2 linked regions of the Neodiprion lecontei genome follow. The protein of the gene in region 1 binds, or shares a complex with, the protein of each later gene. Links are inferred from orthologs where the notes say so. Each region holds a gene or a part of one and is shown in the gene's direction. Other genes may lie near its edges.

The links.
Region 2: the proteins of probable inactive tRNA-specific adenosine deaminase-like protein 3 (region 1) and tRNA-specific adenosine deaminase 2 are in contact, whole or in part, in a crystal structure (PDB 9HMM), measured with the Mus musculus proteins. The link is inferred for Neodiprion lecontei from reciprocal best matches to the Homo sapiens genes ADAT3 and ADAT2. Residues at the interface, in NP_001094076.1 of Mus musculus: Val217, Ala218, Pro220, Leu221, His223, Ile229, Asp230, Ala233, Gln236, Gly237, Glu270, Ser272, Pro274, Val276, Val290, Met291, Met294, Ala295, His298, Ala299, Pro311, Asp312, Leu318, Phe319, Val321, Arg324, Asp326, Leu327, Asn328, Pro349; in NP_080024.3 of Mus musculus: Val62, Asn63, Lys66, Asn67, Ala68, Thr69, His71, Met74, Ile77, Leu81, His85, Pro91, Cys107, Ile108, Met109, Ala112, Ala113, Leu116, Met117, Arg130, Phe131, Val137, Leu138, Ile140, Asp144, Leu145, Pro146, Asn147, Thr148.

What each region holds. Positions count from the first base shown.
Region 1 is NC_060262.1:1,601,469-1,619,608, forward strand, and holds probable inactive tRNA-specific adenosine deaminase-like protein 3, read left to right. Parts: upstream 1-8,188; 5' UTR 8,189-8,663; intron 8,664-11,617; 5' UTR 11,618-11,695; coding exon 11,696-13,039; 3' UTR 13,040-13,661; downstream 13,662-18,140. Other genes in the region: uncharacterized protein LOC124293721, read left to right, coding at 1,798-1,911, 2,074-2,269, 2,357-2,665, 2,806-3,047, 3,151-3,232, 3,390-3,682, 3,792-3,986; receptor-type tyrosine-protein phosphatase alpha-like, read left to right, coding at 4,518-4,553, 4,685-4,772, 4,911-4,987, 5,085-5,216, 5,301-5,441, 5,612-5,809, 5,880-6,076, 6,159-6,241 and 5 more; transcription factor CP2, read left to right, coding at 18,113-18,140.
Region 2 is NC_060264.1:168,116-181,718, reverse strand, and holds tRNA-specific adenosine deaminase 2, read left to right. Parts: upstream 1-6,975; 5' UTR 6,976-6,980; coding exon 6,981-7,502; 3' UTR 7,503-7,842; downstream 7,843-13,603. Other genes in the region: single-strand selective monofunctional uracil DNA glycosylase, read left to right, coding at 5,538-6,245, 6,330-6,479, 6,683-6,793; probable tubulin polyglutamylase ttll-15, read right to left, coding at 8,249-8,347, 8,494-8,698, 8,803-9,989, 10,147-10,236; 40S ribosomal protein S29, read left to right, coding at 11,550-11,611, 12,178-12,277, 12,849-12,857; uncharacterized protein LOC107220724, read right to left, coding at 13,186-13,203, 13,309-13,493. UniProt on the Homo sapiens protein: Probably participates in deamination of adenosine-34 to inosine in many tRNAs.

The sequences.
Region 1 (18,140 bases):
CTCCGGCATCGTCAACAAATATCCAACGTATGGGTCGAAGGCTTAGATGCACGGATTAGATTTCACTCCTGTGAGTATGCGACATCACTTGTTAAATAGAGAGGAAAAAATAAGCCAAACTGATGCTACGACGTTTGATTATTGACGTTAGATAAATATCTCCTGACAAGGAAATCTGGCTCAGTAATATTGACATCAGAATTTATTCGACATAATGGGACATTATGCGTCGAAATGCACGTCGGTCTTTGTACCGAATGTAAGCTAAACGTCAACCTAGTGGATACCGCAGGCCGAGAGACGTTGTTAAAATACATTTCTGGGGATGAAAAATCTCTGAACAACGAGCTGATCACCTGGCGGCCGTTCAAAGTCCAGGTGAACCGACAAAGTGTAGGTCGAAGACTCGTGCGGTTAAAAATTTCAACTGCTCTGAAGAATGACGATGGATACGGTCAGTGGGCGATTGATGACTTCCGCACGTGCCAGCCGCGCGGTAAGCCTAAATTTCGTTTGACACAGAGACAGATACCCTTTTCTAGATTTTTGCACTGCCTATTTACTTTCTTGCGTGTAAATAATTTGTACTTGTTGTCAGGCACAAGAGAATCAACAATAACGATACGTCGAGAGAAATTTGATTCCTGGCCCAGGATCAAGTGCCAAAAATTATCTTACACTGAAATTGAAGTGATCGAGTTATCGTCGAATAGGGAATGCCGCGGAACGATCGGTGAGTACAACCGATTCGAAGTTGAGGTCGATTATAAGAAAATCATTTTCACAGAATGCTCCGCCGTTCATCACGGGGACGATTGCCATCGGAAATGCAGAACCTGCAAATGCAGGTCCCGCGATAAGAGAAGTGGTAAGGACATGGTGGAAAGTAAGAAAAATGGTTTGGTTTCAATCCATCGAGTTTCGAATAGTTCGACGAACCACGCATGTGATATGTCATCATACGTTCAATCTAGTGCCATTGATTCATCATTCGCGTCATCTCCTTGACTTTCAATGTACGCGCAAAAACAGTTTCCGGTAGTCCGATATAAATTTAGCAGATGTCACGTCGTGGAAGCAACGGCTGCGAACATTGAAACAACTTGAATCAGCACATGTACAACAATGTTATTGTTGAGTACAAGTTCGTCATCGCAATATCGTGACACGTTACTTGACTTTTTGAAAATCAGTTACGATAATCAATTGTCATCCATTTTTGAGATCCGTTTCGGTGACTAGAAATTTCATTGTAGCCCCTGTCTAATACCAAATTTACCACTCTCTGGTTACTCCTGTCTTTACCGAATGTACGTACAAAAGACTTCGTTTGAATTCAATACCAAATAGTAAAAATACGCAGGCCAAGCAACCAATAGAAAAACTCAAATCGAACAGTTAGCGAAGACAGTTCTTCGACCAATTAGTGCACCCCAACTTGGACCCAAAAATGATGTATAAAATTCATAACTATCTAAGTAAGAATTCTTGAAGCTGTGGTATTACTCGAATCCCAATTATTCACTGCCCCTCTTTGAATAAATTATATGATAACCGTGTATCGAAATATCTACCACGTATCGCGGTTATCCAGAAAACCTATAAAACATTCCCGATTCAAGTATGGAAAACGTACAAACCAAGACAGAAAGTATTTTGATCGAGGACACAACCATATAATTAAACTGAATTCGTGCACCCGTAATAGTAAAAATTAGCTGAAAGATACACGAGTACGGATTCTAAGATTTCCTAAAGTGATTGTGACTGGTTGATGTTTCATTAGGTAACGCACTAATGGAAGTTCAGGAACTGATTCACACATCTCTATCCGCCACTAGCGTCACGCTAGAATGGAAACCCCCCAAAGATGTAGATGCCACCATCGTGAAGTATGCTGTTTCTCTCAAGGTACCGCGTTTCATCAGCTTACCAAAATCTCAGTCACAATTGATTATCACGTCTCTTTGCTCATCTTCAGCGCATCTCAGACGCTCTGAAAGTGGCAACATTCGAATCGCGGAATAACCTACTGCACGTTTCTTATCAACCACGTTATGTTTTCGTAATCAGGTAAATGCACTGGTTGGTTGCTATGAAAGCGGTCGCGAGACTCCTGAACAGCAGCCGATGAAACGAACCGTGATCCAGCCAAAAGCCTTCTTCGATGGCTTGCATCCCCACGCTTCGTACGTTGCAACCGTGTTCGCGTACATCGACAGTGCAAAGGGACCACCAAAGCAGTATAACTTTCAAACGAATGAAACTCGTGGGTACCAAAAATTTGTGCATGTCTAACAAATTCGGCAGCATATGTAAAACCCTTCTTTTCAACAACTTATGCTGATTTGTACAGTGATACCTACGTCGGTAATTCACAACCTCCGAATTGAAGAAGGAGGAAGGTTTCTTCGGTGGGATTGGCCTGAGGATTGTACTACAATCACGGGCGGTATCTTATGGACAAGAATAAAATTCGAAGCTGTCAGTGACGGCATGCGGCGCGTAATACATCACTACGAAACGACCTATAGGAACCTCGACTTAAGCTTGATCGATTTTATTCCCGGTGTAAAGTACAATGTCCGTGCTTACGTGACAAGGTCTCGGCATGGAATGGAAAATAATACGAACTATGTGAACCTCACCTGGACGACCCCACGTGGTGAGGACCGAGCGAGTTTGAAACTCGGATGCCGTAGCCTTCTGCCAATGACATTTACCGTCTCGAAAACTTACACGTCATTCGAACAGTTTGATAACTCTGCGCAACGCAAACTACATTAACGAGTTGCTATGTTCAAGATGTGACAGAATTGGAAGCGTACGATGCCGACTGCGACAGAAGCACCATCTCCTTGCGATTTATTCCGTCAGTCCTTCTTCACGACCGAATCGAATCCTACGAAGTGTCCATCGCCGAAGGAAACGAGCTCCCCAAAAATATGACTTTTGGTAATACGAAAGAACAGATCTGTGATTTGTCGGATGATCACACATGCTTAAAAGATGTATCCCTACCTTCGAACGCTAAGGTCAACATAACGGTGCGTGCGTCGACACACCTATAGACAAATTGCACTCAGTTAGAGTAAAATGCCCTTATCGATAGATTATCATTATTTGACGCCAAATACAATTCATTCACAGATTCACGCGATGGGCAAGAAGCTTGATCGATTTGATATCCGGAGTAACATCACCTTCTCGCTGGAAGAATCGTGCAAATCAAGTTAGTTTACGTAGCCACGCTAAAGGATTATTTTCTGATTACATTAAAGTAGCCTCGTATGATTTCTGTAATGAAAACCAGTTTACCTATTCATAAGATAAAAGTTAACCGCGAGGTTAACAAATGTAATGAATTGAACCATCCTTCGTGTCCCCAGATCTCAGTTGGCGAGTGAATTTCACGGTGACGCAAAATCGCGGTAACGTGAGCCTGAAATGGAAGCAGCCGTTATCGAGTGGCGCGAAAATCACGCGATTCGCCGTCCGCGTTAGTCCTCTGGATCGACGTCAACTTGATAAATTAACCCACCAAATTCCCATTGTCAGGGAAATTCCTGTCGAGCCGAATCGCAAAGAGTACACCACGGAGTTCTACCTGTCAAAATCAGGGAGCTACAACATTTCCTTGGTAGCGTTCAATCAGCGCAACATAAGCATTATGGAAAATGCAGTACAGTTGTTCATCTCGAAAGAAAATTCCTCGGATTTTCAAGCTGCTGTTCCTGAACGACGTCCTTGGAAACAATATTTACTTTATGTCATTATTTTTCCAATCATAGCGATTCTTCCGTTACTGCTGTTTGCTTATTACCGGTAAGCAAGTGCTTCATGCCAACATTTCCGTGGCAGTGTTTGATCAGCCCAATGTAATCAGCACGGCAGGTGTAATACAGATTTTAATCTCGGAAGACGACACCAAGCGTGGTCAACGGGGGTCGCGAAAAGAGTATATAGAGTTCATCAACAATCTGTGACTATTAGTGAATATTATTTCTCCGGCGACAATATCCAATATTTCACCCAAACAAAGAACTTGCTTTGCTGATTACGTTTTGAAATCACGTATTCATACTGGACCATATCACGTTTAGCAGACGAATGCTGAACCTGCATGCTTCCATAAAATGCGATGCAGCGAAGTCGCAAATTTTTCAAATCGAATAAGCGTTCAAACTATGTACCAACAAATTTGAAGCATCGTCATCTCTTAGACAAGTTCACCAAGTTACTGTGCCATTTGGGCTTCTTATTTGTAGAATAAATGAACTTAATTATACAGAAATCAGAAGAAACTCTCATCCGTGGACAACTGCGGTGAGTACATCATACCGCCAATGAAAGAAACGACAAGTACGAATGTCTCGATGACTTTCCATAGTCTGGAGGAATCATCAGATCCGTCCGACATTTCAGAGAGATATGATGTGATGCACGAGTACGCTGTACCGAGTGAGCTGCTTTCAAACTACATAAGCGTACCGCACTTCCAAGAGTACGCCAAATACATGGCTACCAGTGGAGGACTGTATTCGCAATTTACGGTAAGAAATTGGTATTATCAAAATGGTAGGCCTTGACTGCGTGAAACCGGATCATCATATTTCTCCGCATCTGCCAAATTTGTCGAAAAACTACACATCTGTTAACCTTCAATACGATTTCTGCCCAACAGAATCTTCCTAAGGGGACAACGAAAAGGTGCGAGTATGGAAAGTTACCTGAAAACATGCCAAAGAACAGATGCGTGAACCAAATACCATGTATGTAATGTCAATGCTGCTTGAACAGAGATTTAACGGTCTGAAGATGAATAACTGCATTTTCCGCAATGGATCAACTCTGAGTTTCTCAAAAAATCGTTAGGATTTCTTTCTTACTGCTTGTAATCACATTTACAGATGACGAGACGCGAGTTGTCCTCAACCGAATCCTCGAGGATCCTTACTCCGATTACATCAACGCCAGTCACATTCAGGTAAAAGCATTTCGACGTACCGTTGATTCTTAATAACGTGGTACAACCGCCGTAGCATGCGATATTTATTCACGAAAACTGGTATTCACCCGAACAGGGATACGGCAAGAGGGCCTACATCGCGGCACAGGGACCGATGCCGAATACGGTCAACGATTTCTGGAGAATGATTTGGCAAAACGATGTGAGGGTGATATGCATGCTGACGAACGTTGTGGAAGGCGATAAGGTAGAAAAGAAGATTCGGTTCAGAGATATTACAATCTCTTATTGAAATGAAGAGAATTCTCTGAAACTTCGTTAAACGTTGCAGAGGATGTGTGAGCAGTACTGGCCAGACGTGAGGACCAAGACAGAATACGGCGATGTCGTTGTTGCGAACGTAGAGCACCAGGTGTACGCGAATTATACTTTCAGAACCTTCCATCTCATCCACGAAAGGAATACGCGGAAGGTAAGGCGATGAATTGAAATGGATTTGGGATTGCACGCCACTTTCCGTTTTTCCGCACTCCTCGTGCCTTTATCGTAGTGTTCGGTACAGTTGATCAATTTTCTTGCGATTTTTCCCGCGTACCGAGCATTGATCGAAGCGATCCCATTAATCTTCAGCTCTTGTAACAGGTGACGCACCTTCACTACACGGGATGGCCGAGTCAGGGAGTGCCGAAAGACCCGCAACCCCTGGTCCAGTATTTGAAAAAACTGATGAAAACACCGCCCGGTAACGGACCAGTCCTGGTTCACTGCTCCACCGGAGACGGTCGCACTGGCGTTGTCATGTTGTGCGACATTTGCATCCGCGAAGCGGCCGTTGTGAACGTGAGTAATAAAATAATCCACGACAGCGTTGTAACTCTTCGGGAGCAATGAATCAAGACCGTTCTCGCAGATGATCGACGTAGCCGGGGTCACTCAACGGATGCGGAAGAGCCGCGCGATGATGGTGAGCACTCAGCAGCAATACAACCTGGCTCACGTCGTTCTTGCGGAAAGTATTTCGGAACCGTCGACGTCCGTGGAATGCAACGACGCCTTTTCGCAGAGTGTGGAGGAAATGAAAAAAAGGTTGCCGGCCGACGTGAAACGGTAAGCGAACTCGAAAGCTTCCGTGTCAATACACGTCGAGAAATTCGGCCGTTCCGTGATAAGATTGTACCTGTGTCCACAGGCTCGATGACTCCGAATGGCAGGAGCAGGCACTCTTCTTCGGCGATGAATCCGAACCTTCGACTTCCAACGAGTTGACGGCAGGTCGGAATATTTCAAATTAACAAATCATTCAAAGCCCTGCATGAGAATCATTGAGAATCTTGGTGATAACCTTACGAATTACAGAAAGTCGAAAAGGGAATGAAAACGGCTTGTATTTGGAGTTGAAAAATCCGTGCAATTACACAAACGCGGTCAGCGTCGACGGCCTCGGTATGAAAAGGGAATACCTGGCATCCCCGTTACCTTCGCCCCTCACCCTATCGGAATTCTGGCGTTTCATTATCGAGGATGGTGTGAAACTAGTTATCGTATTGCAGCCTGCAGATCCCAAGAACTCCGTGAGTAATACTCATAAATTTTACTGCGAGTGCTGGATTGACTTTTCAGAGTGTCTTTTTCAAAGAGTCTGCATAAATCTCAATGAAAAATAGAATAAGACGATCAAGTTTCAGCCTAGAAACAAGTAAAGTGAAAACTTTGGTTCAGTTGTTTTGAATTTTCGCGTGAAAGGTCGACGAACGAATGATCTTGCATGTAATTCAGACACCAACAATGCAGAATTCGAAGCAACGCAGCTTTCACCTAGGTCCAACCGATTCTTCGCTTCAATAATCGTACTACCAAAATGTGCTCAACAGATTCACTGCGACATAATACCCAATAAGATGACAGCCGGATTCGCTCCGGACATACGAGTGGAAACGAAAACGCGGTTCGTCGACGAATCTTACGTGAAACTCGAGCTGCTGGTAACCGACACGTTGGCGGTAAGTCCATAGACGACGAAATGTGGTAAATGACAAAACGAATGGATCCTTTTTTTCAAAAACCCGTCTTTTGACACCGTCTCCGTTCAGGAAGAATCGAGTCCTCGTGCCTTGACGATACTCACTTGCGTCGGCTGGGAAAGCGATAAAAACGAAAAGCCACCGGCACCCGCCACGTTGCTCTCGATTTGGAGAACGTCGGAAACTATCAAGCGCGACAAAGGGCAGACCTTGGTTCTCTGCCGGTGGGTAACGTTCGATCGATGCTCGACAGAGTCTTCCAAATTCTCTGACCTCCGCTAATTTCACGCCCCGCGTTTCAGAGACGGCATTACCGGCTGTGGCCTTTACCTGGCGATGAGTTTCCTCCTCCAACGAATGGCAGTCGAACGAGTATGCGACGTTATTTCCGCCGTTCGAACTGTTCGCAGGTCCAGACCTGAGTTTGTCCGATCCGACGTAAGTGTGATATAAAGCAACTACTCTGCGATAAGAACTTCAATTCAATTTCCGTAAAAACAATTCCAAACCGGAGTTCCATTTGATCCCTATACTATTCATGTTTTTACTTTCAGAAGGAATTCCAGTACTTGTACGACGCAGCGTTAGCCTACACAAAATATTTCGAATCCTACGCGAATTTCACTTAATTAATAATCCCTACAAAATAGTTTCAATTGTCACTCAAATTCAAACATCGACGAATCGTTTTCCAAACGTCTTCCGCATGTCGTCAACAATAATATAAACCCAACGTCTTTAACTGTTCTCTCCACGATGAACGTGACAATTCGTCGCTCAAATCCCATGAAAGTGACCCCATTTATTATACAATTATATATTTCTATTCAATCATCACACAATCCTCATTTGTTCCAATATCCTAGTCGATGAAATTATTTCAAAATTTTTTCCAATCTTCAACTGTAATATCACACATGCCACATGTATACCGTAATAAAATCCATATTCGTAAGAACAAACTAATCAATCTACCCACATTTGAAACCAAACTTTTACGCAAAGCAATAAACACGTCAACTAATCTTAATCGTGCTATCGCAATTAAATAATGCCTCATCTCGAGTTAGCTCTGACTCGTCGGAATAGTTAGACGTCTTATCGACTATCGGTTTTCCCGTCAGGGCTCGCGGCACGTTGTAAACGTGCCAAGTTAGTCATAGCCCGTTTGCGCGTTGCGTGCCGGGAGACGACCATCTACCAGAGACTCGAATGACCCGTGTTTGAACGTTTTCGCGTTGAAACCACGTTAAAACAGTATCTCTCAGTCGATATAAAAACCAAAACCAAAGTACCTGGTGCGTTTCAGGTTGACGGTTTGACGGTGAAACGTTCATCTTCATCTCTGCAACACGTTTGCACATAATTCGGAAAATAATTATTCGTCACATGTGTGTTGATACACACATGTCCCTCTATCATTGAATATAATACGTATACAAGTACGTGTAAAAACTCAGCAACATACGCTCGTGCTGAATTACGCTAGCAGCAGTAAAAGAATTGTAGAAAAAGAAATAATAATAACAATAGAAAAAAGAAGAAGAAGAAGAAGAAGAAACAACAACAACAACAACAACAACACAACGACAACGCAAAGACAACCTCAAGACCGGACAAACAAATTGCAAGAAACTCGACTCGTGCAGGAAGGAAGTCAAAAACATTCAACAGTACGTGTTTTCATTTCAATTCTCTAGCCATAAAATAATATCCAACATCCCACTGACAACAATAATATAAACCCAACACGTTGCAAATAGATAAAAATTTCATCTTCGCACCTATAATTAATATGAATCCAATGTCTTGAAACGGTATTGTTTACAATAAGGTATACGTTGTGATACTGATAATTATTACAATGACCATGACGATAATGACGATGATGATGATGGTGATGATGATCCATTTGCGTATAATCCGTTACAATAAACAAAAGCCGTTTATATCTGGATTATTGAACTCGGTAAATGCTAGATCGATTTTCGATTGTTAAACAAACAAACAATATTCATCTACAATCAGCAAAATTATATTATATATAAAAATCTATACAGTATAAAATCATCAGATTTCCGTCACAATTTCACATCGATTTCCCCAATTATTTTTTCATCCTGATACGATATAACAGATCAATTCACCCTAATTCACAATTATTCATACACACCAAACTTCCCGTATTATTAATTTTCCCATATATTTATTATCTCGTTTCCATATCGAATCTCATACTGGATTATAGGAACATCGAACGCCAACGACCACAAAACCTACACATACTCATCTCGCATATGTTCGTGCGTAAAGCAATTGCGGTACACACAACATAACCAACTGCACGCAGTGTAACAAACTTGATCCCATTCGCCACGAGTTACGTAAGCTCGATAAATTCCCTACCGGTATAGGTATAGTACTAAACGGAGAGACGGCCATTACGCGACGCTTTATCACGTCATCCTCGCCACTTTTCCCGCCTATATTCAAACGCCACGGAGCAACAGTTGAACGAAGCGCGCGTTTCGTAAAAAAAAAATTAACAAATTTTAATACTCCGTTAGATTTTTAACATTATTTTTTTTTTCTTTTTAAATACCTTAATGTAATCAACTCAGCAACAATACAATATGTAAGAATTAATACAACAACAACGATTACTTGCGTCGCGCTATCGCGCTATATGTTTCAAAATCGGAGCTTAAACGTATTATTACTATTATTATGATTATTATTAACGCGTTGTAAAAAAACAGAGAGAATGATTATATAGGCTTGGTCGTATATACGTGAAAACGAAACGTTCCGACTACAATCGTACATTGTTATCTCGTGATTACTGTCAGATTGTATAACGCAACTGATTCCAAGTGTGTATATAATATATATACAAAAGTTATATTATACGTGTGTATACGTATACCTATACATACAAAATCTCATGCTGAACTGATATAAACTACATCCGCGGTACGATGTATCCTATGTACTTACATACGTATGACAATTTGAAAATTGGGATGTAACATAACAATGTAACAATATATGTATACATACACGAACTTGAACTCTGCAGAAGATCATCGATGATGCGTGCTGCATTTTTGTCTGTTCCAATTTATTCGAATAAACGAATCAGCTGTGATAATGAACGATTTATTTATACGCGATAAAGAAATTTCAATCTAAATATCATGTACTCCCACATATATTTGACAAATAAAATACATATATAAATTATATGCCTTCATTTCGTCTCTGCGAAAAGAACGCGAGGGAAAGAAATAAATTTACTTTCACTTCAGCGAGTTTTTTTCCAAATTACTAACCATTCCTTTTCTTTTTTTCCTTTTTGTTTCGTATGCTAAAATCGAAGATTAATTCCACTAATCAGAATTGAATGAAGAGAGAGAGAGAAAAAAAGAAATGATCAAAAAGAAGCACCGAAAAAAAGACGTGCTCGAATTGTAGCGCAAATTGAACGTTTCTTATGATTATCATTATTATTATCATATTTATTATCGTCGTTGTTGTTTTTTTCCGTGCGAGACAGCAAGACGCGCGTCTTTGTATCCAGAAGGCATATTATATATTCGCAGAACGTTGCGGGGGCTGGAAATCGTCTTTATTCGCGCGACGATTTGCGAGATGTTGCGATGCCTGCGAAGGGGCAAATTATAAATTGCTGTCAAGTCAGGCCACGGTCGTATCATTTGCGTTAGTTAAACGTAATTGCGCTCCACCTCGGTTAGACGATGCTCAAGAGCACAATACACGTACATTGTGCACATATGTCTATATATATGTGTGTGTATATATATATATATATATATATATATGTATGTATACCAACGCGTGCAGGCACTCTCAAGAATTATCACTACGTCCATTTTCTATGCATAACTATATCGATATAATAATTCCGATAAGCACAGCAGTTGCATTTCAATTTTCCTTTTTCCTCCGCTATTCTAATAATAAAAATGTCTATTGTCAATGTATAGTATGATAGAGCGAGGTAAATATTTCTCAAAACCGCTCATAAACACATGATTTTTCATAAAATTCTACAATAGAATAATTCGGTTCTATTCTACTTGCAAGTTTATTCGTCTCAAGAGAAATGTTATTATTCGTTACTTCTACAAAATTGTAAAAATAATTTCATGTTGCCGTAGTGATTACACAGAATTAAATAAAAATCTCCTCAATTTTGATAAAATCAGTGATTTATATATTCTTCGTAAAAGTAATGAGTGATTTTTTTCAATCATCAATTATTCTCCCTTCTCAACTGGTCAGTTAATAATTGCTTTCTCAAGTCGAAGAAAACTAAATTTCCTCGTCGAATCAATCAAGAATTAAAATTAATTAATTCTTCATTCTCAATGTATCAATTGACAATTTCACGCCTGAATAAATAAAATCAACGCATTTTTTATTCAAGACAAGAAAAGAAGAACAAACGAACAAACAAAAAAATGCCACGAATTATATAACTCGCTAAAACTAAATTAGTAAAAACTTTCAATTAAACGGAATTTAAAATTGAGAAACAAAAATAAATAAATAAATAAAACGTCATCATCCGCAATACGTAAAAGTGAATTGAAGATATTTTCAGGGAAATATCGGATGCAAGAAGACCGTCATCATCATCATCATCATCATCATTGTCATCGTCATTATCATCATCGTTGGTATGACGTCGCGGGAGCCAAAATCAGCAAAAACGAACAACGACGATCAGGATCATCACCATCAGCACCGTCAACATCGTTACAAATCGTCGTCAAGCTCATTAACGAGTCCAACAAAAAAGCGTAATCGTTCTTGGCGACCGCAAGCGGTACTGGGACTATCGTTAACCGAAGAAATACCCCTAGAAACTGTCTACGTAGGAATATTAAAAGACAAACGTACAACGTCGAAAGCAATAAAGCAAATATCGTCGTCATCGCCTGGTTTCGGTCATTTGAAACGTTGCAACGGTTTCCGTCTACTTTTGGAACCAGTGCATGTAAAACCTTCCCAACTCCATCATACGACATTAAACGTCAAGAATTTAACAGAGACCCATTCAATTGGCAAAGTGTTGGAGAACAACGTTAAAAACCAACCAGAAACCGTGACCAAAGATGCTGAAAAACCCCCTTCTTCAATAACGGAAGAAAATCGAAACACGACCCGATCGCCAACCGTTATGCGAAACGATTTGCAATCAAAGGGTTTCGACGTATCGTTACTGGAGGAAAATTTCGAGATTATCAAAGTCCCCGCTAGAGCTGCGCGAACGCGACGTCAGGCCGAAGTTTGCAGTAAAATATGGCCGTTAAATTTCCACCCAGATCCAGGAACCGAGGCTATAATATCCGGTGAAATATTCAACGATTACCAACTGAGTCGAATGGAACTTTTAATGCTGGCCGCGATCGAAGCGGCCCGTCGATCCTCGGTCGGTAATACCGACTGCGCCGGAAGCGCGTTGATCGTCGATCCGTTGACCGGAGAATCGGTGGCTCTGGCAGCCGCCCGTATAAACGAGCATCCGCTCTGGCACGCGGCCATGTTGGCGATTGACTTGGTGGCTAAAAGCCAGGGTGGCGGTGCCTGGATCGGAAGAAAATCTTCTTCGATAGCTGAGGATTCGGTAAGAGAAAAAGACGGCGGCGCCACCGGCGGCAAGCGGAAATTCGACCGCAGCGCCTCGACGGCATATCGGTATCCCCCGGAGCTCGATGACGTTAAACTACCTGCCGCGGAGCCGCTTCAACCGGAAGCCGATAAAACAGGACCCTACCTTTGCACAAATTACTGGATATTCATGGTCCGCGAACCTTGCGCTCTTTGCGCGATGGCCCTCCTCCACTCGAGGGCAGCGAAAATATTTTATGGTGTCAAGGCCGAGGGTCACGGGGTACTAGGGAGCAAGGCTATGCTTCACACGACGAACGGGCTTAATCATCGTTATCAAGTTTGGTCCGGTATTTTGGAAAACGAATGCCGTCAAGTTTGCGCCGATATTGAAAAACGTTCCGTCAAATGACGATTGACCGTTGTTATAGTGATTGTTATTATTCTTACTATTATCATTATTATCATCATTTCACCTGCATAATTATACATATGAATACACGCGTACGTGATCAAGATGTGATCTGTTTAATTGTTGCTGCCTAATCATTATGCATTTACCTGATACAATTATTTAACGATCGTTGTTATTATTATTATTATCATTTTTTTATCAATCTTCTTCTGCCTACCTAAATATAATACTATACGCCATGCTATTGTCCTTGTTAAATGTATATTGCGAGATTAATTAACTGGACAATTAAATGTTTCTAAAAAAATTTCCTCACGCCTTGTTTATGAACAATATATATACGTACACATCTATATACACCTAACATTCCCACAAGCATAATAATATTCAATCGTATAATAGAAACGACAAAAATACCTCTTTAATTGTCACGCAAATATCTTGTTAATTCTCACGTATAAACCTGCCTAAAGTTGATGTTAAGATTTCGTCATTTTTCTCAACGTTCCCTCAATCCAAGAACTCGGTCGAATATTTAATAGCATTTCGTTAATTTCCTCCTCAACAAAGTGTAAAAAAGTATAAATTCACATCATATTTTCAATAACGCGCGTAAACTAATTTTGCGACACAAAAAAAAAAAACACCGCTGTCTCGTATATTTTTAAGGGCTTGTTAATTCTTTTTTTTTTCACCGCGATCACATTTCATACCAACAATAATCGCGAAACGTGTGAATATGTTGAATAACCTCAACAATCAATAATAACACAAAATAAGTTTTGATTTGTGTTTCAATCCCCCATTTTTCCATACATCGTATTTCCATCGCTTTTTATTTCTAATTTTCAACGTAGTTTTTCGTTTCCATTACACTCATACATTCTCTCTCTCCGACGTTCGCATTCGTCTGATTCTTCTTGCCACGCTGGGAAGCATTTTGGCATATTTATAAGGAGTACAGAAGAGTGGTTAGCGTTCCGTAATCACTGACCCGTCGAATTGACATCAATCTGCAAAATATTTAACGTACCCGCCATGCGGCACGCAACGTCCCATACGTTTCATACGACTATAGCCATCGCATCGCCTGCCCGCGTATGCGGCAAAGAGAATAAGCAATAACGATCTCGTGGAATTTTTCAAAATCATTATACGCTCTTAGTAAAAAAAAAAAAAAAAAAAAAAAAACCCAAAACTAAGCAAATAATAATCATAAACGACAAACCCTATGTTCGAAAATACGTTCTCCATCGATTTCCATGTTCTATATAAATACATCAATTCTCATTACTCCCTCACTCTTCCTAGAAAATAAAAAATCTACGAACTGCTCCAATTAACAATAAAATATAATTAATAATTCTTAATTAGAGTTATATTAAATTTTATTGTCCTCGTATCGTTTTTATTCTCACATTTAATCACGCAAAATTTCTTTCTTTTTTTTTTCTTTTTTTTTTTTCCCCCCTCTTATGTTTCAGCGTGCACATTGCGTCGTTAAGGGAGCACAATCAAAGGACAAGAAGAAGAAGACGAAGAGAAGAAGGAAAAAACGTAAGAAAGAACAGAACAATCGCTACCAATTGCTACCGTCGTCGTGAAACAAAGAGAATCAGTAGTGAGTCGTCCCATCTTAGTGAGACTATACACAAGACGAGATTTCAAGATTGCATTTTTTTTTTTTCTCCTCACTTCGCTTCTCGTGAAGGAGAAAAAGACGTAAAAAAAACACAATAATAATAGTAATAAGAATAAAAATTCGCACAAATTTATAAAGAGACTGGGTTGTATAAACGACAAATGGATAAAAAAAATCGTCGCTAATTTAGAGAGATAAGTTATCTCTGCAGTATAATAACGCGTATTATTATACCTTCGCATACATACATATATATATATATAATACATATATAAGTTTCTGTGTCATTCGTTGATTGACAAACGTGCGGCTCGCTACTCGTCTCGCTGATGTGAAAAAGGAAAGGGAAAAAAAAAAAAATAGATAAACCAAAATCGAAGAAGTACGACAAAGTGGCAAACAAAATTTGATCAAAGAGTAAAAGAAAAAGGAGAAGTTTCTAATAAAAAAAAAAAAAAAAATAATAAATAAAACGACAATATTTTCTCAATCGACGTAAAAATCCGCGAGTTCCTCGAATATTTTCAATATTGTTACACACACGCGAGTGCAATTAAATTCATGTTAAAAACATTTTTGAACGCATAAAAAAAAAAAAAAAAAATTAGCGTCGAAACAAATTAATACACGCATACATACACATGCATACATACACGTATAATATTGTAATAAATACAAATTAGACACGTCTTATTTCTCGTCTCGCTGTGCTGCCATCGTCATCGTCGTCGTCGTCGTCCGTCGTTTTAGGCATTAACGCTAAGTGATATAAATTGAAAAAATAAGAGTCAAATAGCAAGCAAGCGTAGCAAACTCCGTGAGCCGTCGCCGCGGATTGGATTTTCGAAAGGAGTTGCCCGATTGGACGAGCCGTCGAAAGGAGAATAACGCCGATTGGTCGACGGTAAAAGTAGCCGATGCTGCGCGGCAAGAGATTCCCGAGCGACTCTCTCATCATATTCCGTCTCTGATCTAGTACATCGTCGTCGTCCTCCTCCTCCTTTTGCATCGTCGTGTTGCCGGTTTACACACAGAGAGAGAAAGAGAGAGGGAGAAAGAGAGAAAGAGAGAGATTAACTTGCATTAAATAGTTGTAATAAAAAGTAAATTTTGAAATAAAAAAAAAAAAAAATTCCACGTATTATTTCGGGATTGAAATTCGTTTCACGCAAACGTTAAGAGACGTCGAGTAAGAAGAGAATGTAACAACGATTGGAAATAAATCGGATAGGATCCAAGGATAAAAATAAAAGAAAGAAACGCGACCGCGAAGCGTGGAGCAAAAATTTCACCGTCAGAATTCAGAGGGAATTTATAAACAGCAGGAAAAAAGGCTGAAAAGCGCGTTGTGCAATCCGCGTTCTAGCTGAAAAACTAAATTCATCATTATCCAATCGCCATGGAGCTGAAAATTCTGAAAATGTGGTGACAGGAGAAAGGCGAAGGCCTCAAGTGATCCAGACACTCTCTTGTGTGTGAGCCATATAGTAAATCGTATATATACTTATGCATATGTAGATAATTTTGTCAAAATAGATACAGCGTGTAATCCCTGCCTTGATAAAATATCCAGACGATAATTGTTAAACAAGTGAAAAAGCAAAGATCGAAAAAAGAAGGAGATTGAAAGAATAGAAAAACCCAGCGGAAAAAAAAAACAATTGAGAGAGGAGAGAGATAAATAGAGAAGTAGAAAATTTTTCGCAAGTTTTCGAGGAAAAGCTCGATCGTCGGAAAACCGTAACGAGAAGACGAAATCCTGCCCGGAAATAAAGAAGAGGAGAACAACGTCGTACACGCTAAAAGGAGTGAACGTATAACGGAAGAATATTTATAATTTATAATATCTTTGGGGAAAAGTAAAAAAATAAATTAACATTCACATCAATAGCATAAGAGTGAAATTATATTCAACTGTAGTGAATAACGACAATAATTATTATTATTATTATTACCCTATCGCCGAAATCGAAAGGTTTGAATACGTTTATGATTAATTGTGATAAAACGCGAACCGGATAAAAACATAAAAAAAGAAATCATTTTTTCAAGAACAGTGAAGAATAGACGAACGTATAAAAAACCTAAGAACTAGAAGTGTTTTTAACAGAAAAAACCAGACTCGTCGAAAGAAAAAAAGGAAAAATACTAGGTCAGATAAGTAAATCGATATTGATAATATTGATATCAACAACAACTCGAATTTCTAGCATGAAAATGCGAAGAAGCCTGGGTGTTGCGATGGTTTTCGAGGACGTGTTCAGCGTTTTTGCCCGTTTCCTGGCCTCGACATCGCGGGGCTGCGCACTGCTAGAAACCCACCGTCAACGCGAAACAACGGGTATCAAAAAGTTGTACAACAGTTTCTTCGTAATGTTCTAAGGACGTTTTGCGAAATCGAAGGTCAGAAGAAATAAAAAAAAAAAGAAAATAGATAGCAGAAGAAGAAGAAGAAGAAGAAGAAATTGTAGCGCGAAACACACTAACTCACAAATAGTCACGTCATACACACGCAAACATACACAAGCAGAAACAATAAAGTTCATACTGCGCGTAGGTAGAAAAAAAAAGATCCTTTATAGAAAGAAACCCGAGTACATATTGGTGTTAGAAGAGAAAGATAAGGAGAAAGAAGATAAAACAAAGAAGTAGAGCCTTAGAGCGTGCGGAATAATTTTAAAGCGCAGGCTGCTTATTTAGTGGAAAAAAAAAAACAAAGTAAAGCTGAAACTAGTAATAACAAAAGGAGACAAAGTAAAAGCGTGTATAGAATTGATCGATAGAGAGAAAGATTTCCATACGGCAAGGAGAAGAGAAAATCGAATATCAAGCGACGTCGGCGATAGATGAAAAAATACCGAGCAAGAATTGCTTGAAAATAAAAAAAAAGAAAAGAAAAAACGAAACAAAAAAAAAAAAACAATCCTCAATTTACGCGACCATTGAAAAGTATGAAAATTTTCCATAATATATTAATGCGATATTAAAAAGCGATACACAGAGGAAGAATAGAAAACCGTACGTAATCATCACAAATCTAAAAATTTTGTTAAAAAAATTGTTAAACCCTGATGAAACAGCGTTGTAAAAAATTTAAATTCCCACCGAAGCTAATCAATTTCACATACCGTTCACCAAAAATCGTCCGACCGTTTGAATAATTTTTTGAATAAACGTCGCAAAGTGCTTATAGTTTTAAAAATTTATCTTTCCTCGTCGTTTCTCCCCGTCTCGTTTTTCAACTTGAAACAAGAAATAAGGAAGAGAGACAAGTGAGAGAGAGAGAGAGAGAGTGAGAGAGAGTGGGAAATAAAACATCAAAGATTCGTTGAAAAAAATTCGAAAGAATTAGTAAATCCGCAGAGCGTCAAGAGAGGGGAAAAAAAAAAAAAAAGGAATCGGGAAAAACGAAACGCCAAATCATTCGAATGGAGTTACACCTGATTCTGGACGGTG
Region 2 (13,603 bases), on another chromosome or scaffold:
AATATCGGATAATTTACAAATTTGCAAACTCCGCCAGAACAAACGCGACGTATGCCTGAATTTAAAAATTCAAAAACGAATTCGTTTCGGGCATTACAAAAACGCACAAAATTATTTCATTAGTTGTATGCGCATATCCCAGTAAACGGAGAAAAATGTTAAACCATATTAAAACAAATGCATTTTCATGACCCAACGATTCGAATCGCACTAGAAGACTCATCGCACGTTTCGAAAATCAATTTGTTTCAATTTTTTTTCTATATATTAATTGACAAAGACGGAATTGTGATTGGATCGAATTGAAATTGCGTTACAACATAAGCATCGGATAAAATTTGGAAGAAAATGTGTATTTCGAAACAATAAATGGATCGAAGGGCATCGAAAGGAATCTCTTTGGATATGAGTGTCGAATCTGGTTTTTCTTTTTTTTCTTTTTGTTCTTGTTCTTTATTATTTGTTTGGATAAGACTGACAATCGTATTTCAGCAACGGCTTCTGCAAGTGCGCAGTTCTCCACGGCGCAGGACCGCCGTCATATAATACACGCACATATTTTACGTGTATACACACGCGCATACACGCACAGATGCATATAGATGCGGGATGACGTTTTGCGAGTATGTGTGAAGGGGGTCCTTCAAAGCATGAAACTCATAGCGGCATGTCGGTATTGATCCTACGGAGATCCTTGTTTTATTTCAAACCGCTGTTTATAAACAGCTGAATCGTATAAAGTATAATGATTCGAGAGAATGACGATTTTACATCGGTGTAACATAGTTTAAATTTATTACACGCTCAGATTCGTAGAAAATGAAATTGCCAATTTTTATCACCTCGAGAAGAAACAGGAACAAAATTTTCTTTTAGATGATTGGTAAAATTACGAAATAATCGTATGTATATAGTATGTAATAATTTACTTGTTTATTTTTTTTTTTCTGTACCGATATATATATGTGTGTGTGTGTGTGTGTGTGTGTGTGTGTGTGTGTACGAAGATACTGCGAGTGATGTCGAATGTAGGTACCTAATATATGCATATTTTGTTGGAACAAATTTTGACGTGCAGCAAAAGTGTAGAGGCGATAACGGGTGGTAATTCAAATGTATGGAAGCACGGAAAGAGAGAGCAAGAAAGAAAGGCCAACGAACCAGAATAAGAATAAAAATTTTACGCAACGACTTGCATATCGATTTGACTGACAATTTTAAAAATCGCTCCGTCTTATCGTCGCGTATTAATTGGAATTTTAAGCGGAGTTCAACGTCCGAGAAACATATAAATTTCGGAGAAAGTTAATTAAAATTTGAACAATTTTTCACCGATTAAGTAGTGCGATAATTTTCGTACACGTGGTAAGTGCGTCAAACGAAAGTAAATCATCGATTAACCGTAGCCCGCATAACGGCTGCAGTCTGGAGAGTCTACGGTATTAACCGATACCTTTCAAACACGTTCAAATACACATCTGTACATACACGCAGTACGTGCATCCCGTCACGGTTATCTCGTACCGTCGCCGTCACTTCTGATTTCGTTCCTACAGCTTACCGGGCGCCGAGTGTAAACGTAAAGAAAATTGTCACCCATGTGCCCACGTGACGATAGGTACCAAACGCCGGCAAATTGCGGACAAAGGAGAGGACTAATAAAAATTGAACAAAATTTTTCTCAAAGTAAATCTGATAAACAGAAAAGAGGAAGAGCAACGGAATGAGCATGAAAAATTTTAAGTTGTTACATATTGAACGGGCATTTGTAACATGCGTACCTTACAGATGCTGCGACAGCATGCCGACCAGTATTTTATTTATGTAGGGCACACCTGGCCAAGCCCTTTGCATGGTTCACTTATACGACGTATGTATTCGTCGCGTCACACCCCATATTCAAAATTTACATCCATACGTACGTATGTACGTACATACCTATGTATGAACGCACTTACACGACGTGTGTAACACGACTCTGCCGTACCTTAACTCCGATTCAGAATTCTATCGGTACATGCATACAGGTATGCCTTATATGCCCGTACATAAATTTATACATAGATGCGTTGACGATGATCACATTTATTGCATACGATACGTCATTTGTTCCGTAATTGTGAGAAGTGGTGTTTTTAAATTTTTTTTTTTTTATCTTCAGCTTTCTTAAAAGCAACAACAAGAACTGCAGAAGCAAAGATAGAATGATAAGTGTTGTAATTCAATAATTTTTACCGTTACTTCATACATACACTTATCAACGGTTATCTTTCAAAAATTTTAAATGCGACAACTTTTTTATGCTCTGGCTTTCTAAAATGATCAATCATATATTTCTAATTGGTTCGTTTCCCCGATGCTTGGAAAACTTTGTTTTCTTTTTATAACAAATACACATTCTATACTACAAAAAGGACGAGAATAGCGTATTTCATGTATTACAGCCAAGCATAGGTCGTTACAATTATACTGCGGAGTTATAGATCGTATATAGGTAGATAATAGAAATGTGTCTGGAGCGTAAAAAGGCGATGAATCCTCGCGAGGATGAAGCCTTATGAAGAAATATTAGTATGTGCATTTATGTTAGACACGCGGGAACATCGCCCATTTATACATATAATACGATGCCTGTACGCTGTGTATACCTTGTGCCGATGGGATTTGCTGTTACGTATTTTCATCTACTTATGTGTACAATAATATAAGTATTTTGTTTTATCATGCATGGCCGCTTGATCATGGCGTACGTGTAAGAATACTTTCATACAGTCACGAATAAATCAGCGAAACATGTACGTAGGTTGTAGGCGTGTTAAAAAGTTAATTAAAAAAGTGATGTTTGTTAAATTTCACGTAAATAATTACGTAATTATTGTCGGTAAGATAAATATTCTCACTATGCAGACACACGTTGATAATAAAATATTCCGTCAAATTATAATTCTCGAAATTCAGTCGATAATTGCATTATGTGCACACGATGCATAACGTACACATTTATTATATCAGTCACGGTCATGATTTATCGATTACAAGGAAAAAAATAAGTCGATCGTCTGAAATGAAAGGTCCTCTTGTGTATCCTTCTTTGTTGAAGACGTTTCGATTTCATTTATTTGTTTATTTTTATTTACTTTTTTTTGCTCTTGAAATTCTTTACCTCTATGACGTCATATTTTTTCTTAATTATTATGTTATTTTCATCTCAATCGTTGTCAATTTTTTTCTCAACAGCAACAGTGCATCATGTACTCGTAATCTCTGCACACGTCGTGCATGAAGTTGGGGCCAGGACAATAAGTGGCCGGAATACAGAGCACAGGCAGAATGTCTGGAATGAAAAAAATCGGATTCTTTTTCTTCTGTGGATAAAAATGACGCCTAAACTGGATTAACAAGAATCACAGATTCAGGAAATACATTTTCGACCGTTTAATAAGAATCCAATAACTCTGCAAGTATATGTTTACGAAGTGAAAAGGTCATATATTATATCTAAGGACAGGAATGAAGATCGGAGGAGGCGAAAACTTGGCGATCATACGTCTGTTCCTATTTATTCGTGCTTACCGTATGTTCGTCGACACCCGCAACAGTATCCAAGATTTATCGCCGGATCGTTATCACAGAAACGCATCGGACATCCCGTGCATACAGGAGGAAACAGGGCGTTCACTAAGAATGATAAATCATAGAGTATGGTGCAAAAAACGCTGTTGTGATGTAAAATTTTACAACGAAATTCCGGATAATCGTTTAATGCGTTTTAATATGATTTTCCGTTATTGCTATCCGAATCGTACTTGGCGAAAAAGACTCGGCGAAAAAGACAGCCAACAATTGACAGCGCATATTTTTTTAACAAAATAATTTCCTCCGTAGTGAGCATTGGTGAGATAATGGAAAAAAAAAAAAATTTACCAAATGACCAAGTATTATTGAAAGCAAAGAAAGTCAAAGATCCGACGAACCGATATCGATGAAACGTGAATGACGAGTCTTCGTTTCGCGAAGCGAAGATGCCCTGGCGAATGTAGTTGACATCGCAATGACGACAGCGAGAAAAACGATGATATTCACTTTGAAAGACATTTTGACACCGAGTAAACATGTTGAGAGAATTCCGGCTCTCTTATATACCTTTTCAACGCTTGGGTTTTTTTATTTTATTTTTTTTATTTTATCGTGAATCGTTTTACCTGGACACTGATAAAGTCAGTCGCTCGTTTCTTCGTAAGATCGTAAATAACAAATTGTTTTCAAATGACCATTAAAATCAGGTCACCGCCTCTTCCAGGTAAACCAACAACTCGTAAAATTTACATCGTGAACGAGTGATCTTTCCGCTTATAGTACTAGAAAAATCTACTGCCTGCGCGTGTAATTCGTCGGCATCGCGCATATTCAAGCTGTGTTCTTTGGGTGATTGAGAAGTCGGTATTTTATCATAATTTACTCCATGTCGATTCAAGTTTATACATTCCACATTGACACGCATTTAATTTAATTCCCGAATAAATTCACTCCTCACTGTCAGAACTATTCACACTTGTGTTTCGTCGGCTATTACGGCTGAACGATAACATGTGTTTAAAGATTCCCGCTTCCAAAGCGGCCGTCGGCTCTGAAATTAAATATGGCTGGAGACACACGATCAGCTGATCGTCGAGTTCGTTGCGTTTGCAACTCGTCGTCGAGGCTGTTGCGAATGTGTTGTCGGTGAAATCCGTAAAAAATCAGGGTAAGTAGTAGCAAAAATTTCATTTTCACAACTGCTATACCCCTATAATTTCTAGGCATCTATGCTAGATTAACAAATCTCGCGAAATAAATTCGCGGCGAGTAAAGTAGAATAAACATTATTGCGGTATGAAGCACGTGACAACGTTTATATGTCATTCGTAGATTGGCAAGCATGAATGGTAAAAGTGCAGCGATTCGCAGAATGAAATTTTCTTATAATCGACAGCTGCGTTCTAGGATTTCGAACGCATTTCATATCGAATTTAATACATTGTTTGACGCCTATACGATAGAAATTGGCTAGATGAACACTGCAGGAACGAACGTATTTGGTCAGGTGATTTGGCGGTTAAAAGCATCAGACGAATATCAAATATTCGAATTTCGTACTGAAAGCAAAAAGACTTCAAGAGCAAACAATACGAGATACAAGATAAAATAAACATCTAATTCGTACCTCGATTCGTACCAACCGATCGCAGAACCGTTCAAGTTCGTGCAGCCTGCGGTTAAGCTGCGTCGGATAGGTTACTGGGTAGGCATACGTATAGATATAGGTAGATAGGTACAGTCAGTATCAAAATGAAAAAAGAATTCACAGTCGAACTGGTATTTACAAATACACGAAATGCGGATTGAAATGTCAATAAACCGAGGGACTGTCACCCACGAATTAGGTGCTGGGCGTATCGCAGACGCGTTAAGAGTATCGATATCGTTTTCAAGCGTGACCGAGAAGGGTCAAAAGCAATATTGAATTGAAAAAAACCGGGAGAGACGCAAAAAACGTAATGACATCGTCTAAGCGTGCGAAAATCGAATATGACGATCTGCCGTTGGATCTGAGTCTAAAAAAGGTGCCGGAAAAAATGGCTGAGGATGAATACGACGACGAAGACGACGAGGAGGTGGAGGAAGAGGAAGTCGAGGTCGAGAGGGATAAAAGCCTCGTCAAAATTTCCCCCCTCGACGAAAGCGGTGTCTTCATAGTCCCAGCTGTCCCTCCGCTCAGCCATCCGATCCTGAAGATACCGGAAAAGCTGCTGTCGCTTGAGTGGCTACTCACCGAGGAGCTGAGGTGCATTCAGTTCCAGCTGCCAGTCGAGTACGTCTACAACCCGATCGAGTACGCCTTCGACGTCCACGCTAAGTACGTCAGGAAATACTGCCAGACGACTAAGAAGATCCTGTTCCTCGGCATGAACCCGGGTCCCTGGGGAATGACTCAGACCGGCGTCCCCTTCGGGGAGGTGAAAATGGTCAGAGACTGGCTTGGGCTCTCGGGCTGCATTGGAAAACCTGTCAGGGAACAGCCAGACAGAAAAGTGACCGGATTTGCTTGCACGAGGAGCGAAATAAGTGGGCGAAGGTTCTGGGGACTGTTCAAAGACGTTTGCCAAACGCCTGAAAATTTCTTCAGGCATTCTTATCTTCACAATTACTGCCCCATCGCTCTCATGGACACCAAAGGAAGGAACATTACACCTGCCGAATTGAAGGCAATTCATTGTTGTTGAAAATCGGATGCGATTCAGGATTTACCAACTTCGGTTTAATTTTGCTTTCTTGTTTGGATTTTTCAGGGCCTCGAACAGAAGACTCTTTACTACAGATGCGACGAGGCACTCGTCGCCACCATTAAACTCTTGCGAATCGAGATAGTCATCGGCATCGGAAGATTCGCCGAGAAAAGGGCACAGACTGTCGTCAAAACTGCCGGACTTCCCACCCAGGTTCATTTCATTTTATCTATTATTTAATATGAATTCTCGTTTAAATATTCAAGATTCAATACTTAAGAATGAAAGTTTGTAACGATCACATAACGATCTCTGTCATTCATCTGGATCGATCATTTTACTTACAATCAATTACACATCTCTAATTACCAATATGAGTACTTCAATGTGTAATTAATGTTGTTTTGTTTTTACAGGTGTTGTGCATACCTCACCCGAGTCCCCGGTCCCTGGGAAATGAGAACTGGAGTGAGAAGGCTGCGCAGAGATTGCAGGAGTTAAATTTACTGAGATATTTTGCCAAGTAAATTTTCACTTACAGATATCCAGCGTGCAATATCAACGAGTGATAGTCACAAGTGCAAAAACAAGACTCTATATACAATCGCTCCGATTTAAGCAATAATCCGTACTAATATTTTATTCTTGTCATTTCTTTCATAATACTTCGCTGTTACTGTTGTCATTATTATAACGTATTTTTATTTTTCAAACATGAACGTAAACGAATGGATGAATGTGGCATTGGAAAAGGCTACCGAGGCTTTGAATGCCGGAGAAGTGCCAGTTGGGTGTTTGTTCGTTTACGAAAATGAGATAATAGCATCGGGTCGCAACACTGTCAACGAAACAAAAAACGCAACTCGTCATGCCGAGCTAAACTGCATAGATGATGTGCTCGAATATTGCAAAGATAAGGGAATCGATTATCACAAAGTGTTTGAGAATATCGACGTTATCGTCACTGTTGAGCCATGCATAATGTGCGCCGCTGCGCTACACCAGCTAAAAATTCGCAGCATCGTTTATGGTTGTCAAAATGATCGGTTCGGCGGTTGCAAAAGCGTGTTTGATGTGACGAAAATTTATGATTACAAAATATCTATTACCGGTAGCGTCAGAGGTGACGATGCGATGCAATTACTTAAAGACTTTTACAAAGGTACAAACCCCAACGCTCCGGCGTCCAAAGTTAAAAAAGGTCGGAAAAAGAAAGTTGAATCCGATGTAGGTTGATTATTTCCTTTTATTATAATTTTAAAAAACCGTTTGCCAACTTTTAATCATATCCTCAAGTCTTGTTTTCACGAGATATCGAAAGCTATGAAGGTTTTCCATTTTTCCAACGAAAACGTACAGACTGTGGATATTAAATAATAAGCAAATAGTGTACGATGCATAATAATGCATAAGGTTGTGCTATCGTAGCAATCGTTTTCTTATCGGATCTCATTTCAATTTGCAGTAATGGTATAAATTAACACAATAGTATTCAAACTCTGATTAATCACCCGTAAGTCCATATCAGTAGCATAGATGCTCTGTACGATGAAAAAGAGACGGTGTTTTAAACTTATTCGCAACAAAAAAAGGAACATAATTGATGAGAGAAAACACTACGAAAATTTTGGTTACAATATTTCAGATTTTTATTTTGATAATTTATATGTTACATTACCTTTTAAAATTGCGTATCTACTTAAGTACTAAGTATCCAAAAAATTAAGTTTATACTTCTTACGAGTAAGAAGCTATTTTGATTTTGTACCGTACGATCGAGTACCGTATGCATTTTTGTTTTAAAAGTTGTACCAACCTTTTTTTACAACGAAAACTTTCAAGAGTTCAGATCTAACTTTTTCCACGTTACACATTAAACGTGAACTCGCAGATCTTCCCAGTCGTAATCGATGTATCATAAAATTCGGGCAGGGTATATACCTATACTGTATAGAAGATAGTAGAATGTAGAAAACTTACGATTATCCGCACCACGTGGGATCAAGTTCACATTTACCTTGATACCATCTTACGAGTAGTTGATTCTTCAATGTGTAATCCTTGAGGACCATTGTTTTCGTCTGAAAAAAAGAGTGCATAGTAAAATGTCAAAGGTATTAACATTGTAAATACTCGAATAAAACAAACTAGCAAAAAAAAAAAAACCAATCACCCTGCGATCAATTTTCAATTAATTTTCTATAGGTATCACAGGTTTGTCACTCACGATAGGAGGTGGGAATATTCTTTGAAAGTCCATAGCGTTCTGGTGCTCGCGATAACTGGTCGACAAAATGTGTCTTGTCTCATCCGTAAAACACGGTTTACACAATTGGCATTCGACTCGAAAACAGTCGTCGCATTTAGCGCAAACTTCTGGCAGTACGACCAGATTTTTATCAGCCACCTGCATTTCCTCTTCCTTCTGATTTCTGAAATAATAATCGCGTTGTGTGTGTCATTGCTGAGGTTCGAAAATTCTCCTTCAACCCTACGGTTATGATTCTGGAATTAGCTGTGCGAAAATAGGATTCACCTAATTCTTAGCGATTCCTTCCTTACTCTTTGGCCGATACCGACGAGTCCGAAAAGGTTGAATAAAACCTGTTCGTAGAGCAGTTGATTAGGCGGATAATGGGCCGAAGATAAATTCGGCGACATATTGGCCTCCATGACAAATACGTTGAGCTCATCGTCTATTGCGAAATCGAATCGCATCATCTCGAAAAAGTTGTGTTGGTTTTTGAACCGTTTTACGACGTCCTTGATAAGGGACTCCTTACTCAGAATGACGTCCCGTATCGCATCGTTAACGTTATCCCAGACCTTCTGGGGATCCTTACCCTGCGCCCTGACGTAACTGTCGAAAGAGTCCTTCATGGAGAATCCCAGATTAGCGTAGTAATTTTTGAGCGACGGAACATCCCATATCGGCAAGTAATCATCGCCGACAACATATTTGTCGATGTTCTCAGGATCGAACGGATAGTACTTGACAGGACAAAACCGGAAGAGAATATCACCCTTGTAAACGTAGACCCTGAGAGGATCGACGGAAGTGACAACGGTGTAGACGCCGATGTCGAACTTGAACCCGTCAACCAGAAAAGGATTCTCAATGAACTCCTGGACGAAAGACCCCTCCGATGCCAGATCGATGTCCGAGACATTGAGTATCTGGATTCCCCGATGTGCGTTCGACTTTTGGACGAAACTCTTCGCCGGGTTGTCGGCCACGTATTTTAGCAAGGCTTTCTTGTCTTCTGGTATCTTGAAAGCTGCCGGCAAGTGCCTCGCCAACTCCGACGTCGAGAGGTCGACTTTGTTCGTTATGTAACCGCACCCCGGTACATGATTCACCTTCTGGTGCGGCGCCAGGGCGTTAAGACTCGAGTAAAGCGATCTGAAGGGATAATCGTGAGCCCACAACAAATCCCAGTCCGACTCGTTCGTTCCTCTCTCAAATCCGAGTCGGTCCAGCAATGCGAAAACGTGTTTCAAATACCCGGAGTCGGGATTTCTTCCGTAGACCCAGTATATCGGTTTTCGATCCTTTATCAATACTTCCTTGACTTCGATCTTCGCAAAGTGTTTTTGCAAACTCGAAGACAGATGATAGAGAGTGTATAAAATGACTGGTCCAACGATACCGAGTATAAATAGTTTGAATATCGTTCTAAGTTTGGTATTCAAAACCGTTGTACCGACCGCAGTATCTTCATTCTGAAAAACGGGTCAATTTTTGTTAATGTCAATCAATTTTGACTAAACTCCATCACCGCCTGAAGAATGTATGACAAGCCCTTTCGAATAGAAATTGCAAGAATGTAAACGTAAACATAACGGTGCGTAACGTTGCATAATTTGAAAAATGACCTACCTTTTTGCCGTCGGAATTTTTCCCGCTCTTCTCAAATACTTCTTCATCTTCGTTAGAGGTCGCAGACACAAGGCGTTTTTTGACAGTCATTAGAATATTGGTTTTACCCGTTTGTAGAGAAAATTTCGTGCGTGGTACACCGTGTTGTTGAAAAATCACGTCAGAATACGCATCGCCGCGAAGTACCGTTGTGTCTCGAGTCTCAGCCCCGCTCCAATATAACGTTTCGTACAACCTGCGCACGTGGAATGCATTGCGCAGGAGAACCGGATTTCAACCTACGTATGTATGTATGCACGTAGAACACGCATACATGACGCGTGTGACGTGCGCTCAGAAAAGTTTTTTTTTCTTTTCGTCATACGTCTTACGTTATATTCTGTACCTTCATCATTTTAGACAAAAAAATACAAGAATATGATGATCGTTTGAAAATTCGCAGAGTGGGCCGCCTGATTGTAGGCAACTGACTATGCATGCACGAGGTTGGCATTTAGGTGCCTAAGATTAGGCGTTTAGTTTAGCAGAAACGACAGTTTGGAACAATACACGAGTATTTGGCAATACAAATTTGTGAAACTAATTTCTACTACTCACCGAACACTTTTGGGTAGCCGGAGATGTATCCTCTGGTCGTTCAGGTATGAGCATGGAATCCATGTTAAGTTCACAATATTGCACCCCACTTCACTGCGATAACAATCACCGAACAAAGCACTCGATTGATTTTAGTTTACGGACCTGTTATGTGTAAGAAATTTGTCACCCGTCAAATAAACAACGAACATTCCGGCCACGTAAACAGCAAATAACCTTGCAGAAACCAAATTCGATGCAACAGTCGACAGTGATTGAGAGACATGACATGCCTAATCAGCAGGTCTACCGGCGTGAAGTAGTTTGAAAATAGACGTGATATGGTCGTTGACGATATAATCACCACACACTGCACTAAAAAACGCGATTAGGCTATTTGCTCGCGTGACGTCGTTCGATTGTTTCGCGGTGAAAAAATTACCGATCAAATTGCACGGGACAGACGATCCGAGTTTCGCGGTTACAAAGCACGCCGTACACCTGGCGCTGCTCGAGAGCGAATGGCACCGCGCGGAACTCTCACTTGGGAGGAAATCTCGAAACTTCGATCGGTCGAAGCGTGCTGACGTTGTTGCTGAGCACTGTGGTTGATGTTTACTAGGTTGCCGTCACTCCTCCCGTCAGGCGTATTGCCCTGAAGCTGACGAAGGCCAAGTGTATTCCCGCAGTGCTGACAATCTGAAAAAAATTAGCGTGTAGTTTAGTTTCCGAACACAGCGCCAGGTAGCACTCGCAACCGGCCAACTTCCTATCGGCTTTCTAGCTCGCGCTGCTTCTTTTCCGCTAAGGGTGCCTCAAAACGCAACATGGGTTTCCAGAATATTTGGTATTCTCACCCCCGTAAATACGGCCAAGGATCGAGATCTTGGTGAGTAATTAACCAGAAGTCTTTTCCCGGTCCTGTTTACCAAAGATTCGGGTCCAGATACCTTCCACAACTCCACGCGGACTGCTCAGGTCTCGTTATTCCCACAGCGTGGTCGAACCTCTCGTCCACATGTCCTAAATGATGCAAATTCCGCTCAATTCAGGTCCGAGCTCAGCTCGCGACTTTTCAATGTTCAAAACACCCACAATTTTCGGGAGACCTGCTTACGATAACTCGACAATTTCAAAAAAACTTCGAACCGCTACGTAACGCGACGTTTTTTTTTTATCAATCTTTCATAGGTTATGTTTATGACGTCATTTTCAGCACGCATTTTCCTCCCTCGATATTTTTCAGCAATATTTATCCCATCGCGATTTTTGCAATCTCATAGCTGTTAAGCCTGAAATCGCTTTGAACTAACGTTATTGATAAAACTTTCTCAGATGTATTCCAAGTTTTTCCAACCTAAAAGAATCCGATCGACGATATGTCCTTCCTAAATTTTTATTTCTGTTTACTCAATCCGACGAATGAGGAAATTAATATTTTTCATTGTCTTTTAGCCGAGCGTGTGCCAACAAGCACGGTCTTATCCGAAAATACGGTCTGAACATTTGCCGTCAATGCTTCAGGGAGTACGCTGCCGACATTGGCTTCAAGAAGGTAATTTTAATTAATACGAGAAACGTATCACAATTATATTACTGAGAAACTATTAGAAATGCAGCCGCAGAATGTTTTTAATTTATTACTCGATGTTCCTTTGTGTACAATGCATTAACAATATATCTGAGAATGGAAGCACGGCAATCGAAAGATGAAAAATTCTGAATTTCTAATCGCTCACTTGATTATGCGTTTGCAAAATAGTTTTAAGCACTATTGGATTCTCATAAAACTTTAATCTTATCTGATTACCGTATATCCATTAATTTCAATAGTCTAACGTATATTGAATTGTACTCGTTAAGTGTTCAGGTCGACAAGTAATCATGAGTCTGACACAATTTGCCAGTGCTATAATGATATAAAACATTATTATTATTATTATCGACTATTACTCGTGACAAAAATTGATTTGTTCACATCTAATGAGTTGAGTACTGGAACAACCAATAACGCATTATCAAAGCATCATTAATGACTTGAGCAACATGCGTACCAATATCGTTTCTACATGTAACTTTTTGGGGATCAAATTTAAAACTATTTTTTCTTCTGATATCTTTTGCAGCTGGACTGAAACACCAAACCTCAAACGCTGGGCTGATTCGTATGATAAACAAGCTTTCATTTGAATATGAAGTATATAAACATAAGAAAGAAAATGAATTGATATTGAATAATTTTGTCCACGAGTATGTTAGTGATGTCGATTATTTAAATGTATGTTTCGCTTATGATGGGGAATCAGTAAAACAGCTTTAAAAAAAAAAACGCCAACTTTTCTTTCATTCTCATTTGTGCTAAATTAATATTCCTATCACCATTGCTTCAGAATGGCTGTGTAATTGAAAAATTAGACAGATCAACCGCTTTTTCCTTCACATCTTTCGGTCCACCGCAACTATTCAGCCCCTTGCAAACCTCTGAAACAAACAAAAAAAAACATCGATTTTACCGCTTCTTTTTCAATTGACATGAAAACAATACATTGAGCGAAACAAGAAACTATTGAAAAATTTTGTAGTCACCTGCGTAGCCTGAGCAACCAATGCTAGTACAGATTTCCTAGGTGGTCTGCAAAATTTACTCGGCCCCTCTTGGCAGCATAAATTCGGAAGACACTCTATCGTCCGATTACAAGGTTGTGGAAACAAGTCGAGTACTGGGGGGGGTGCCATTTGACACTGCATGTATTCCATCAGAGACATTATCGCTGGAATCGTGATATAATTCAACCATTATATCTGCAGTTTTAAAAAATTCCCTGAGACTGATGAATTTTAGATATTTATAAATGGCTCTAATTACTAGCGTCCGGGTTCG